Sus scrofa: one gene and its partners. The protein of the gene in region 1 purifies or fractionates together with the protein of each later gene. This does not show direct contact. Links are inferred from orthologs where the notes say so. Each region holds a gene or a part of one and is shown on either strand. Other genes may lie near its edges.

Region 1 (4,718 bases):
GGGTGTCTGGACATAGTTCTCAATGCTATTCAGCAGGATCTCCTTGTAAATCTATTCTAAGTTGTGTCTGATAAGCCCAAGCTCCCAATCCCTCCCACTCCCTCCCCCTCCCATCAGGCAGCCACAAGTCTTTTCTCCAAGTCTATGATTTGAAATTTTTTTTAAAGTTCCCATCACAAGAAAAAAAAATTTTATACCTGTGCGTGGTGATGGATGTTAACTGCATTTATTGAGGTTATTTTGCAGTATATACAAATATCAAATTGTTGGACTGTACACCTGAAGCTAATATAATATTATGTCATTTGTACCTTAATTTTCTTTTCTTTTCTTTTTTTTCTTTTTTTTTTTTTTTTTGCTTTTTAGGGCCACATCTGCAGCATATGGACGTTCCCAGGCTAGGGGTCAAATCGGAGATGCAGTTGTTAGCCATAGCAATGGAGGATCCGAGCCTTGTCTGTGACCTATACCACAGCTCACAGCAATGCTGGATCCTTATCCATGAGCAGGGCCATGGATCAAACCCTCATCCTCATGGATACTGGTTGGGTTCATTATCACTGAGCCACAATGAGAACTCCTGTACCTTAATTTTCTTTCTTTCTTTCTTTCCTTTTTTTTTTTTTTTTTTTTTTTTTTATCTTTTTTAAGGCCATGACTGTGACATATGGAGGTTCCCAGGCTAGGGGTCACTTAATTTTCTTTTAAAAAAAAAAAAAGCTTTTATTAACAGTGACAAATATCATATAGTATCACTTATATGTGAAATCTAAAAAAAATAATACAGGAATTCCCATCATGGTGCAGTGGAAATGAATCCTACTAGGAACCATGAAGTTGCAGATTCAATCCCTGGCCTCACTCAGTGGATTAAGGATCCGGCATTGCCATGAGCTGTGATGTAGGTCACAGACTTGGCTCTGATTCCACGTTGCTGTGGCTGTGGTGTAGGCTGGCAGTTGTAGCTCTGATTCAACCCCTAGCCTGGGAACCTCCATATGCTGCGGGTGTGGCCCTAAAAAGCAAAAATTAATAAAAATTAAAAAATTTTTAAATAATACAAATGAACTTATTTGCAGAACAGAAACAGACCCACAGACTTTGAAAATAAACTTACAGTTATCAAAGGGGACAGGTGGGGTGAGTTGGGATGTGCTGGGGGTTTGGAATTGACATATGCACACTGTGGTATATTAAACAGCTGGCCAACAGAGACCTGCTATATAGCACAGTGAACTCTACCCAATATTCTGTGATAATCTATATGGGAAAAGAATCTGAAAAGAATGGATGTATGTATATGTATAACTGTATTGTTTTGTTGTATAGCAGAAATTTTCAAAACATTGTAGATCAACTACTATAAAACTTTTAAAAATGAAAAGGTGGCTTTCTAAATTAATGTATATTGGTAGTGTGAGTATATGTTAATGTGTATTGATGCAATTCAAATCATAGTTATAGAAAAAGAATTTTTTTTTTTGGTCTTTTTTTTTTTTTTTTAGGGCCACACCCATGGCATATGGAAGTTTCCAGGCTAGGGGTTGAATTGGAGTTGCAGCTGCCAACCTACACTGCAGCTTATGGCAACGCTGAATCCGTAACCCACTGAGCAAGACCAGGGATGGAACCCAAATCCTCATAGACCTTAGTCACGTTCTTAACCCACTGAGCAACAGCAGGAACTCAAAGGATTTTTAAAGTTTCTTCTGCTAGCATTTGTATTTTCTGTATTGTCATTCTTTTAGAATGTAATTTTTACCTTGTTCGATTATTTATGCTTGATTCTTTTTTGTGTTTTAGTCCTCAAGAGTAATTGAAACTTGTTTACTTTACTTTCTACAGAATATTTTGTGTTATTTCAACTAATGAGGCATTGAGTATGTAGTGGAAGGATACTGGCTTAGAGTGAGAAGACATGAGTTCTGGTTCTAGTTATAAGACTATTTTTCTCTAATTTATTAATGTCAGTCTTTCCATGAGCCTCGGTTTTCTATCCATAAAAGTACATAATGGAACTTCTGACCCAAACAAAATGGCATAAATTTGTCTTTCCTTCTCCCCTATTAAATACAATTCTAAAAATCAGAAGTAACAAAAGGACAATCAGGAAAATTCTAAAAGGTAGAAAGAAGAAGATCGGGTTCGGGACCCAGAACTGACAGAACAACCCAACAGCAGCTTGTCTTACAAGCCTTCAACAGAAGAAGGGGACCCAGGCATAGTGTTTCTTGACCTCCAACATAGCAAAGGAAGGTGCCTCATACAGGCTTGTTCCTCTCCTAGATCGAATGGGAGCCCTGCCAGCAGTACCAGGTGAGCCCAACAAGACTGCACGAAGGATTTAAACCTTACTGACAATAAATAGCCACTGAGGTAATATTTTCCCTCCTTTTCATGAGAAGGAGGTGGGTGTAGGGAAGGAGCCACATTACAACCACCTGGCCTAGGAAGCAGTCTTTATCTCCCTTCACCAGTGAAGGTACTCCAGGTGGCCTAGCCATTGAAAACTCCTCCCATCCTTTCAAGCAACACTGGCTAAGGGCCTACTAAATTCCCACCTCAAGAAATTAGAAAAAGAAGAAAAAAATAAACTAACTCAAAGCATGCAGAAGTAAGGAAAGAACAAAGAGTAGAGCAGAAATCAATGACATTAAGACGATGAAAACAAAGAAAAATGAATGAGACAAAAAGTTGATTATTTGAAAAAGTCAATAAAGTTGATAAACCTTTAATAAAGACTAATAAAAGTAAAAAGATGACATAGATTATCAATATCAGGAGTGGAATAGTGGATGTAGTTACCTGAAAAGTAGATTTGCCTCTTAGTTTGTGTCAAGCCAAAAGACATAACCAAGCTAAAGATCATGAGAAGGAAGGGTTTATTATTACTTGCAGCAAGTATAGGGAACATGGGATCTTTCACAAAACAGGGTCTCCCCAAGCAGCAAAGATGAGGGAGTTTCAAGTTAAGCATACATGCGTATTCATTAAGGAGCTTGGGTGGTCCACAGAATCCAAGTGTTAGTTGATTGAAGTTATAAGGGCCAGAAAATGTCAACATACTCCTCCCTTAGACTCCAGCTGATCTGGTGGTTGAACACTTCAGGCTAGTCTTTACCGTTGAAATAGAACTGGGAGCCTTTACAACCGCTACATTATCTTTGCTATCGTTACTTCTCCTACCTGATAATAATTTGTTTCTGCATTCTTTTGTTCCTTTAAGATCATTAATTACTGGGACCTGTTCAAGGGTAAGCATTGTGACCAGGCTTAGATCACAAAATGTCGTAGGCCAAAAATTGTTTCTCTTCTGTCAAGAAAGCCATGCCTGTTTCTCTTTCTCCAGGGAGCCCCTACCATATCTGCCTCCAATATCATCCACACATCCTCTGTAATAGGAGAATGCTATCAATAACTTTACACTCATACACGTGACCATTTAGAAGAAATGGACCAATTCCTTGAAGACAACAAACTACAAAACCAAGATAAAATAGATAACATAAATAAATAGTCCTATTGCCATGAAATAAATTGAATTCCTAATTTTAAAGTTTCCGAAAAAGAAATCCCCAGGCCCAGATGATTTTACTGGAGAATTCAAAGATTCTTTAATGCTAATTTTACAGTTTCTTCCAGAAAACAGAAAAGGGGAAACACTTCTCAACTTATTCTGTAAGACCAACGTTTACTTTAATACTCAAAACAAGAAAGTACAAAAAAGAAAACTACAAACCAGTATCTCTAATGAACTTTAAAAAAAAATCCTTAACCAGATAATAGCAAAGCCAACAATATATAGAAAAGAAATATAAATTATGAACAAATGGGCTTTATTCCAGCTCTGCAAAGGTGGTTCAGTATTAAAAATCAGTCAGTATATCTACCACATTATAAAGGAAAGGGTGAATGTTTTCCCTCTAATATTGAAAATAAAGCAAGGAAATCTATTCTCATTACTGCTATTCAACATAGCACTGAAAGTTCTAGCCAGTGTAATAAGGGGAAAAGAGAATAGGCCTACAGATTGGAAAAGAAGAAATAAAACTGTCTCTGTCCACAGATGACATGAATGTCTCTGTACAAACTCCTACAACTAATAAGTGAGTTTGGAAAGGTCTGGAGATACAAGATCAACACACAAAAATAAATCACACTTATACATACTTATAATGAACCTGTGGAAACCCCAAGTTAAAGGTAGTAACCGTTTATAAATTGTACAGGGAAAATTAAATACTTAGGTGTAAACATAACAAAACATGTACAGGTGTACTGAAAATTACAAAATACTGAATTTTAAAAAAATCAGAACCTAAATAAATGGAGAGATATACTACATTTGTGCATCAAAAGATTCAATGGGAGTTCCCGTCGTGGCGCAGTGGAAATGAATCTGACTAGGAACCATGAGATTGCAGGTTTGATCCCTAGCCTCACTCAATGGGTTAAGGATCCGGCATTGCCGTGAGCTGTAGTGTAGGTTGCAGATGCAGATCAGATCTGGCACTGCTGTGGCTGTGGCGTAGGCTGGTGGCTACAGCTCCGATTAGACTCATAGCCTGGGAACCTCCATAAGCCACAGGTGTGGCCCTAAAAAGACAAAAGCCAAAAAAAAAAAAAGTTTAAAACAACTAGAAATTATGCATCTGTTAATTCCCTCAATGAGAAAATGTCAAGGTCTGTTTTGAAGCTAGAAGCCCCGTTTTCTCTTT
Region 2 (4,585 bases), on another chromosome or scaffold:
GTATGCAAACTGTTTTGCAACTACTACAAGTTAATGAGACGGAGTTCCCATTGTGGCTCAGCAGTAATGAAACCAACTAGTATCCATGAAAACTCAGGTTCGATCCTTGATCAGTGGGTTAACGATCTGGTGGTGCGATGAGCTGTGGTGTAGGTCACAGACGTGGCTGGGACCCAGAGTTGCTGTCGCATAGGCCAGCAGCTACAGCTCTGATTCGACCCCTAGCCTGGGAACTTCCACATGCCATGGTGCCGCCCTAAAAAGCAAAACAAGACAGATCACAGGACTGAAACAATTTATTAAAATTTGCTTGAGGAATAATCCACGAATGAGAGTCTGGAAAAGACAGGACAGCTATAGAGGACTAAACTTCTCTTCAGGATGGTGACTAGGAATAAGGTAGGTCGTCTAAATAAAAACCAAAGAAAACTGTCTAACAAGAAAAAAACAAGTTTTTGGTCCTTCTGGAAAAGTCAAGCCTTGTCTGGCAGTAGTCTCTACTATCATAATCTGAAAATCTAAAGACCCTCAACGGTAAAAGAAGACTGCAAAAGGCGACGCAGCATAAAGCCTATGCTTAGTGCTAATTAAGTCCAATTACTGTTGTATTCGTATTTTCGTTTCTCGATGCATCCCTTCCTTAAGAATTCTCATCCATCCACCAGTAACCACCTGGGACTCGAAATCCCGCAGGTGGGAGATGATGGGCCCGGGAGGCGGCAACTTTCATGTTTGGGCCTCAGCAGCCGCATCCCTGAAAAGCAGAAATGGATTCGACAGCTTGCCGGAGGACTGGTGCAGGCTGTAAGAGATAGGATACAGGTAGGAGGCGGGCAAACAGCGTGTCACAAGGCTCCTCCCTCCTGCAAAGGACGCTAACGCCGCACGTCCAGAACAGCACTAAAAAGACACCGCCCCCTGGCCCGGACTCATTCTAGGACCTGCCTCCAAAAAGCATCCTCCCGGCAGGAAGAGTCTCACCCCAGACTTCACTCGGAGGAGCCGAACTACTCACTGTCGATGTCCTCGATGAGGCTAGCGGTGCCGGGCATATAGTTCATTTTGAGTTGAAATGAGGCGCAACGTATAGCGGTGGTGGGCCAACTCGTCCAACACTTCCTTCTTCCTACCGCAGTCGCCGCCTCGGCGGCACCGGGACAAGAACCCGGACCCAGAGTAGCACCTCCGGCCCGGCTTTCAGCCGCCGGGGCCTGCCGGAAACGTCGCCATATTACTCCCACCCACTTCCGGCATCACGTGCCGGTGCTCAGGAAGAGGCGGGACCGTAGTGAGGTCCCGAGGCACCCTTTCCACGTCCTTGACAAGAGGGGAAGAGAAACCTAGATTGGATACGTAGTGGGGAAATGCGTTCTCCCTTTTAAGGTACACGGTGGCGCCCCTTGCTGTCCTGCTTCCTAGACCCCAGAGTCACCGACCTCAGTCCTTCAACTCTCAAGAATCTGAGGCCGAGGGGGCGGGACCCGGCCTGGGATTGGCTGTTGCTGGCCGACCCCCTTCCCTGCGGTCCACTTGCGTTCTCCGGCTGGCGTCTGCGCAATGGACCGGCCGTGGGGGGCGGGAAGCACTTGGGGGCAGTGGAGCCCATGTCGGCCTTGAGGCGCTCGGGCTACGGCCCCGGTGACGGTCCGTCTTATGGCCGCTACTACGGGCCTGGGGGTGGAGATGTGCCCGTGCACCCCCCTCCGCCCATATATCCTCCCCGCCCCGAACCTCCCCAGCCTCCTGTTTCTTGGCGGGTACGCGGGGGCGGCCAGGCTGAGACCACCTGGCCGGGAGAAGGGGGAGGAGGAGATGGCTACTATCCCTCTGGAGGCGTCTGGTCGGAGCCAGGTCGAGCTGGAGGAAGCCACCAGGTAAGCTTTGCGCTGTCTGTCCCGGGGTGGGGTAGGGGACGGCAATAGGGGAGTCTTTGGAGGTGAGGGTTATTGGGTTTGATACACCTCCAAGAGTTCGTAATGAATTGGGTTTCATGTGTTTTCCTTATGGGGGGGTGGAGAGACAGAAACTAGGATCGTAGGTGGGGGCTATGCTTGTTTTCTCTTTGCCTCTTTTTTACTTCAACCATAGTAAATGTCTTAGCATGAAAAAGGGGAAAAAGATCCTGCGCTGACCTGCTGAGCTGAGTAGCGGGCTGCGAATCTCGCCTGGGAACGGTGTTGGGCTGGAGGGATCCGGGTCTGCTTTTCGAGTCCTGACAATTTATCCTGCGTGGCTCATCAGGTCGGCCCTCCCCAAGAAGGGAGGTGGCTGCAGCACCCTCCGTCCCTTAGCAACCCCTCCCCCTGGGAAGGAACGTGAAGGAAGGGGAGGGATCTGGGCGTTTAGCTCTTTGCCCTTTTAACGCTTTGCCCGACATTGAATCACGCATAATCAATGTTGGAAAGCAGCTTTCCGTGGATTGTTTTATTTCATCTTAAGGGTGACTGCCGCGTAAATGTCATCACATCTTCTCTGTTTTACGATGAAAGAACCGTTGACCGTGAAGGGTTAACTCACTCAGTATATTTGAACCTATAATGTCTTGTTCCTTGTAGTCGTGCGGAAATACAGTTGTTTTGTTATGCAGTATGCTTCGCAGAGAATTAATCGTTATCTGGTGGGGGCACTCCTATCCTTTTCTTCAGGAAATGTAACATCCTCATTGGTTGAAAATGTAATAATGAAATTCCCATACATTGCTGGTGGGAACATAAAATGGTTCAGTGCTTTGGAAAACAGTTTGGAAGTCCCTCAAAACGTTAAGCATACTGTTGGGATCTTACTCAGCAAGTCTGCTCCTTGTTATACACCCAAGAGAACTAAAAACATGTCCACGTATAAACTTGTACACGTGAGATTCATAGTAGCATTATTCATAATAGCCAAAAGGGAAAATATTCCAAATGCCCATCAACTGATGGATAGATAAAATCTGACATATTCATACAATGAATGGGAAGAAATGGGAAGAAATGAAGTACCTTCTACAACATGGATGAACCTTGAAAATATGCTACATGAACGAAGACAAACATTAAACATTGTGTGATTCCATTTATATGAAATATCCAGAATGGGCAAGTCTGTACAAATATATGTCATTGTCAGGGGTTGGAGGCCTGGAGACATTGGGGAAGATAGTTAAAGGGTATGGGGTTTCTTTTGGGGATGATGAAAATATTTTGGAATTAGATTGTAAATGAAGATTGCACAGCTCTGAATATTAAAAAAAAACATTGAATTGTACACTTTAAAAGGCTGGGTTTGATGTCATGTTATTTCTTTTAAAAAGTTGTATCATAAAAAAAAACGTAGTGAGAGGTTAATTACAAAGAAAGGCCCATAATTTCTCTATCTGAATCTAGAATAAGCAGCCTGAGGGAACTTCAGTCCCGACAGAGGAGAGTGAGGAAATGCTTGGCTAATAGGTATGCAGACTAGACCTAGGCTCACTTGTGGGGGAGGAGGAGAGAACCACTAAGCTGATGATTCCACCTGGGCTTGCTGTGTAGTCAAAACAAAGGTTTTTTTTGGGTTAAGGTTAGAGAAGTTAAGATCTTAGTACTGGGCAGGGAGTTTAAAGGGAGAACAGGTGTGCACACAGGCTAGGTAATGCTGGAGCGGTCAGGAATACGGCCGGAATGTGATTGGGCATTTGTCAACCGTTGCAGGAGTTTATCTTTCAGGTTGATGTTTCTGAAACTTGAAAAGTATAGGATGATGATTTCTTTCTTTGTTTTTCTCAAATGGCTGCACTTGCAGCATATGGAAGTTCCCAGGCTAGAGGTCAAAATTGAGCTTCAGCTGCCAGTCTACACCACAGCCACAGCAACATCAGATCCTTAACTCATTGAGCAAGGCTAGGGATCAAACCTGCATCCTCATAGATACTAGTCAGGTTCTTAACACTCTGAGCCCGGAAGACATCTTACTCTTCAAAAAGTGTAGTCCATGTACCAGAAGCTTCAGTGTTGATCTGAGGCAGTTAGAAATGCAGAATCTCTCCTGCTCCATACTTCCTGCTGCTCCAGTTTAATAAGATCCTCAGGTGATTCATATGCACGTTTGTGGCTGAGAAGCATTGCTTCACAGAATTGGATATATTGAGATGATATTGCAGTGAATAACTGCAAAGACTTGACTCTATATTAATGTATTTAAATATGGCAGGAGTGAAAAAGAGAAAATCTCTGTTTTCTTTCTCTTACATTGTTAGCTATACTTGCAGCACTGTAGTTTGATTCTTGAACCAGCAGTATGTGCACCACCAAGGAGCTTCTCGGAAATGCTGTAGTTCAGGCCTTGCCCCAGACTTGCAGAATCAAAATGTTTACTTTTTTAATGGCTGCAACTGCAGCATATGGAGGTTCCAGGCTAGGGGTCAAATTGGAGCTACAGCTGCTGGCCTGTGCCACAGCCATGCCAGATCCAAGCCATGTCTGTGACCTACACCATAGCTCATGGCAACACCAGATCCTTAACCCACTGAGTGAGGCCAGGGATCAAACCTGTGTCCTCATGGATGCTAGTCAGATTCATTTCCACTGAGTCACAATGGGAACTCCATGTTTTTGTTTTATTTTTG
Region 3 (4,558 bases), on another chromosome or scaffold:
AAAGGCTGGTAGGATACAGAGAAGTTTAATAGTATCCTGTGTTCTAAAAACCCACAATCTAGTGTGGTAGGTAGTACAGATGATGTTAAAGCTAGTCTTTCCAGGGAGTTTCCGCTGTGGTTCATTGGGTTACAAACCCAACTAGTATCCATGAGGATGCATGTTTGATCCCTGACCTCGCACAATGGGTTAAGGATCCAGCTCTGCCCATTATCTGTGGTGTAGGTCACAGATGCCGCTGAGATCCAATATTGCTGTGGCTGTGGTGTGGGCCTGCAGCTGTAGCTCTGACTACTACTAACCTGGGAACTTCTTGTATGCCACAGGTGGGGCCCTAAGAAGCAAAAACAAGCAAACAAAACCACGTTAGTGTTGCCAGACCTGGATTGGAGTTGACTCCGCTATTAGCTTACTGTACGACTTCTGGCAAGTAAAACTTTTGCTTCTCTAAACCTGTTTTCTCTCCTGTAAACTGGTGATAAAATATACAGTACCTATTCCTTAGAGTTAGTTTTGAGATTCAAATGAGGTAATTTAAGTAAAGAACAGTTGGTAGCACATAAGGGCTTGATAAATAGCCACAGTTCTTTTTGTGTCTGAACACAGTGCGGGGAGATGATGAGAGTGGGATTCTCATCAACACAAGAGCTAGCAAAGCATACTGCAATGTTGCAGAGCTGTTTCACTTTCTTCCTTTGAGACACAAGCCTCTTCCTCTGCTTCCTCCTCAGTATTAGGCACTTTTTTGCTGTCCCAAAGTCCCATGGATTTATACAGAACTTACTATACATTAAGCGTCCAATTTCAATGAGTAAGTCACTCCCTTCTTACTCCAACTACCACAGCTATTGAGCAGCGTTTCTCACCCGATTTAAAAAAAAAAAAGTGAGCCACACTTCATCAAATGTAATTTAAACGTGGACTGCTTTTCTTTCCGACTACAAAGAATGAACTCCTGCAATGTACTTTGAAATGTTAAAAAAAAAAAAAAAAAAGCCAATGGTAATAATGCTGTTACATTCGGCTTGAAAATACTACTTCCCCAAGGTCAGTGGCCGAGGAGGCACCCACTGGCCTGACTCTACCGGATTTTTTCACTCCCTGCCTCCCGCCCCTATCCCAACCCCACCCCTAGATTTAGCCGAGCTCTAGTAGTCTGACCAAAGCCTTCAGGGAGAGGCGGGGAGGTGAGAAACGAGAAGAGCGGGGAGGTGGGGCAGGTGCGGCTGAAACGGAACTTCATTGTTCGCGGGACCGACTCTTCCCGAAAGAGCCCGTTGGCAGCGCCTGCGCAGTGCTCGCTCTTTGTGCCCGGCTGCAGCAAGAGGGTTGTTTGTGTGTGTCTCTCGGAGGCGGTGGAGGAGGAGCCGGAGGGGCGTGGCCTTCCAGGTCGCATTCTTATTGGGCTCTCACAGGGAGGTGGGCGGGCACAGGGCGGAGTTTCTGATAACAACACTCCGAGCGGAGGCTGAGGGTATTTGTTGCTGCGCCGCCACCGCCCGAACCATGGTCCGCGCTTCTCACAGGCTTACCTAGCAGCAGCCTTCGCCGCCCTGTGATCTCTGGCCGCACTTCCTTCTTCTACTCCTGCTGAGCCGCTATGACCGTCGTTTCTGTCCCCCAGCGGGAGCCGCTTGTTCTGGGCAGCCGCCTGGCGCCCATGGGCTTTTCCGCCCGCGGTTACTTTGGGGCCCTCCCGATGGTGAGCACGGCTCCGCCGCCTTTACCCCGGATCCCGGACCCCAGGGCGCTGCCCCCCACCCTCTTTCTCCCTCACTTTTTAGGGGGAGACGGTCCCTGTCTGACCCCTCAGCCTCGCGCCCCAGCGCCTCTGCCCAACTGCAGCCTCGCCTCAACGGGGGGCACCCCTCGCGCAGCACCAAAGAAGCGGCGAAAGAAGAAGGTGCGGGCCAGCCCGTCGGGGCAGCTTCCCAGCCGCTTCCACCAGTACCAGCAGCACCGGCCGAGCCTGGAAGGCGTGCGGAGCCCCGCGACGGGCCACAGTGGAGAGCAGCAAGTCCCGGACCAGGCCGCCGCCTGGGCCTCGGCTCCTGCAACCGCAACCCGAACTGAAGAAGCGAGCCTTTTCCTTGGCCCGCGGCCGCCCGCGGCGCCCGGCCAGCCCTCGTTCAGAAGAGAGGTGAGGGCCGCGAGGGGAACGTGGGGACCGTTGGCACTCCGGCCCCAAGACGGCCGGACCCGGGACCGGAGGCTTGGGGCCCTGCGCTGAGTGGCCGGGAAGGAGGGGCCGGGGTGAGGGGCGAGGGCGGCTGTTTACTCGGGAGGGAAGTTTCCGTGACGCCCGCTCTGTTCTTGCTGGGGGGGAGAAGGGGGAGGGGGAGGCCTGCGCTGGCGCTGCTGATTGGCTGCGAGGAGCCGGCCAATGACAAGAGCCGCTGCGCCCCGGCAACAGCCCGGATTTAGAAAGCTGGCGGCGTTCCAGGGGGTTTCGGCGTTCGGGGCGCGAGGGGGAGCGAGACGGCCCGCGGGAGGCTGACGTCAGCGCGCGCTACGTGCGGAGCGCTCCGGCGCTCATGAAGGAGGCGAGCGGGTGAGGGGTGTGGGCCTGCCAGCGGCTTCCCGACAGATGGTATTGCCAAGGCGAGGGGGGACGCGCGTAGACCCTCCCGGCGTGGGGCTCCTTGGGGGCCGCCCGCCCCCGGTTGGTCTTATGCAGAGTTGTGAGGTGCCCCATGGGTGGCGCTGCTCCTCGTCGGGCCGACCTACTTGGCTGTACTTTTCAACTTTGAAAGTTGGCAGGTGCGACGGCAGAGTTGTTCCCTCTTTGAAGCGATCAGTTCTGTGTGCTAGCCTATCAGATGAGCGGAATTTATTTAACCATTCCACTGTGTACTGTACTGGGATTTTTTCAGTGGAAGGTAGTTTTATTACCTGTGTCCAGAACGATGAACTTTTCGAAAGAAAAGTTACCAGTTGAACGGACGTTGTACTGCCCACTTGCTATTAGACTAGAATAAAATTGATTATAATTTACGGTAAGAAATCGCTGAAATGACTTGAAGTAACCTTTAAATTAAAACTTTCATAATAGTGAAAATAAGTTACTGACAGTGGTTGAAGGAATATCGTTCTGAGATTTGCAGCTTATCTAGTTGCGATCTTAGAAAAAACTAAACTTATCCACGGTGATTCCTTAAATTATTATAGGTTCCTTTCAGTTCCAGGGTTTTTCTGAAATATTTGTGATAATCTAAAAGGGAGTTTTTGTACTTGTTTACTAGTTAAGATTTCTTTTTCAGAACAGTGTTAAAACCAGGGAGTTCTGTCAGCACTTACCCTTGTTAACGTGGATGTTACCTTGTGCTTCGCTTTCTGTAGTTGTGTCCTGCTTCCCTACCGCAATATAAGTGTTGAAAGGGCAGTGATCTAATAGATTACCTTATTTTTCCATCCCATCCCCTCATAGCTTCCCATAAGGATCGCTTGAGTTAGAAAAGTCGTTGGAATTAATGCAGTAAAGTTGTTAAAGCAGTTGTTAAATTAGAAAGGAGGGGGCAAGCAGAAACTGTTTTCTTCTATGTATTATGTGTATAACTGGACAAGATGATAAAAGGTGGTATTTTAGTATTTATATTTCCGAAAAAAATTTTTTCAGAAACTGGGAGATAATTTTTGTGTATGTACTTAGTAACCATTATCAAAATACTTCCTCACTAGCTCTTGCTAATCAAATTTTTATTCTGAAATCATCTTTAGTACCGATCTTAAAAGGTGAATTGTGTCTCTATTATAGTTTTTCATCAACCAAAGCATTTGAAAATTTTTCCCTTGGCAACATCCTACTGTAAAAATGCTGATATTTGTTTAGGAAGAGGTCAGCATACATGTTTGAAAGATTACTTCTCTGTATAGAAAGGTGGACTTGGTTACTTTGGGGTTTTTTTGTCTTTAACATTTTAGAATCAGCTCTTACACTGCATACTGGTAACGATGATGAACTATTTTTAGTGGTAAAACTAGATACCTGCATATTTGGACATCCAATGATAAGTGCCACAAGCACATTTAATCAAGACATTGAACTAAAGTCCAGGGGGATTTTTTTAAAGAAAATATATTAGATAAATGGTGAGGTTCATGTCTGATTTTATCATGAGACTATATTCACTTTTATATTCCTTGTCTTTGTAGGTTTTAAAATCAAAGATGGGAAAATCGGAGAAAATTGCCATTCCCCACGGCCAGCTTGTTCATGGTATACACTTGTGTGAACAACCAAAGATAAACAGACAGAAAAGCAAATATAACTTACCACTAACCAAGATCACCTCTGCAAAAAGAAATGAAAATAACTTTTGGCAGGATTCTGTTTCATCTGATATAATTCAGAAGCAGGAAAAAAAGCCTTTAAAAAATTCTGAGAACATTAAACATAAGCATTTGAAGAAATCAGCATTTCTAACTGAAATGAGTCAAAAGGAAAATTATGCTGGGGCAAAATTTAGTGATCCACCTTCTCCTAGTGTTCTTCCAAAGCCTCCTAGTCACTGGATGGGAAGCACCATTGAAAATTCCAACCAAAATAGGGAGCTGATGG

Evidence for each region.
Region 2: the proteins of DCP1A (region 1) and BAG4 purify together in Homo sapiens (affinity purification with mass spectrometry; 4 studies listed by BioGRID and IntAct, counting the BioPlex papers as one, with this or other methods). This does not show direct contact. The link is inferred for Sus scrofa from reciprocal best matches to the Homo sapiens genes DCP1A and BAG4.
Region 3: the proteins of DCP1A (region 1) and PNRC1 purify together in Homo sapiens (affinity purification with mass spectrometry; 3 studies listed by BioGRID and IntAct, with this or other methods). This does not show direct contact. The link is inferred for Sus scrofa from reciprocal best matches to the Homo sapiens genes DCP1A and PNRC1.

The regions. Positions count from the first base shown.
Region 1 is NC_010455.5:35,422,782-35,427,499, reverse strand, and holds the start of DCP1A (mRNA-decapping enzyme 1A), read left to right. Parts: upstream 1-1,654; 5' UTR 1,655-2,291; coding exon 2,292-2,316; intron 2,317-4,718. UniProt on the Homo sapiens protein: Necessary for the degradation of mRNAs, both in normal mRNA turnover and in nonsense-mediated mRNA decay. Removes the 7-methyl guanine cap structure from mRNA molecules, yielding a 5'-phosphorylated mRNA fragment and 7m-GDP.
Region 2 is NC_010457.5:48,345,525-48,350,109, reverse strand, and holds the start of BAG4 (BAG family molecular chaperone regulator 4), read left to right. Parts: upstream 1-1,299; 5' UTR 1,300-1,604; coding exon 1,605-1,874; intron 1,875-4,585. Other genes in the region: U6 snRNA-associated Sm-like protein LSm1, read right to left, coding at 1,016-1,061. UniProt on the Homo sapiens protein: Inhibits the chaperone activity of HSP70/HSC70 by promoting substrate release. Prevents constitutive TNFRSF1A signaling. Negative regulator of PRKN translocation to damaged mitochondria.
Region 3 is NC_010443.5:57,126,828-57,131,385, forward strand, and holds the start of PNRC1 (proline-rich nuclear receptor coactivator 1), read left to right. Parts: upstream 1-1,272; 5' UTR 1,273-1,600; coding exon 1,601-2,140; intron 2,141-4,152; coding exon 4,153-4,558. UniProt on the Homo sapiens protein: Nuclear receptor coactivator. May play a role in signal transduction.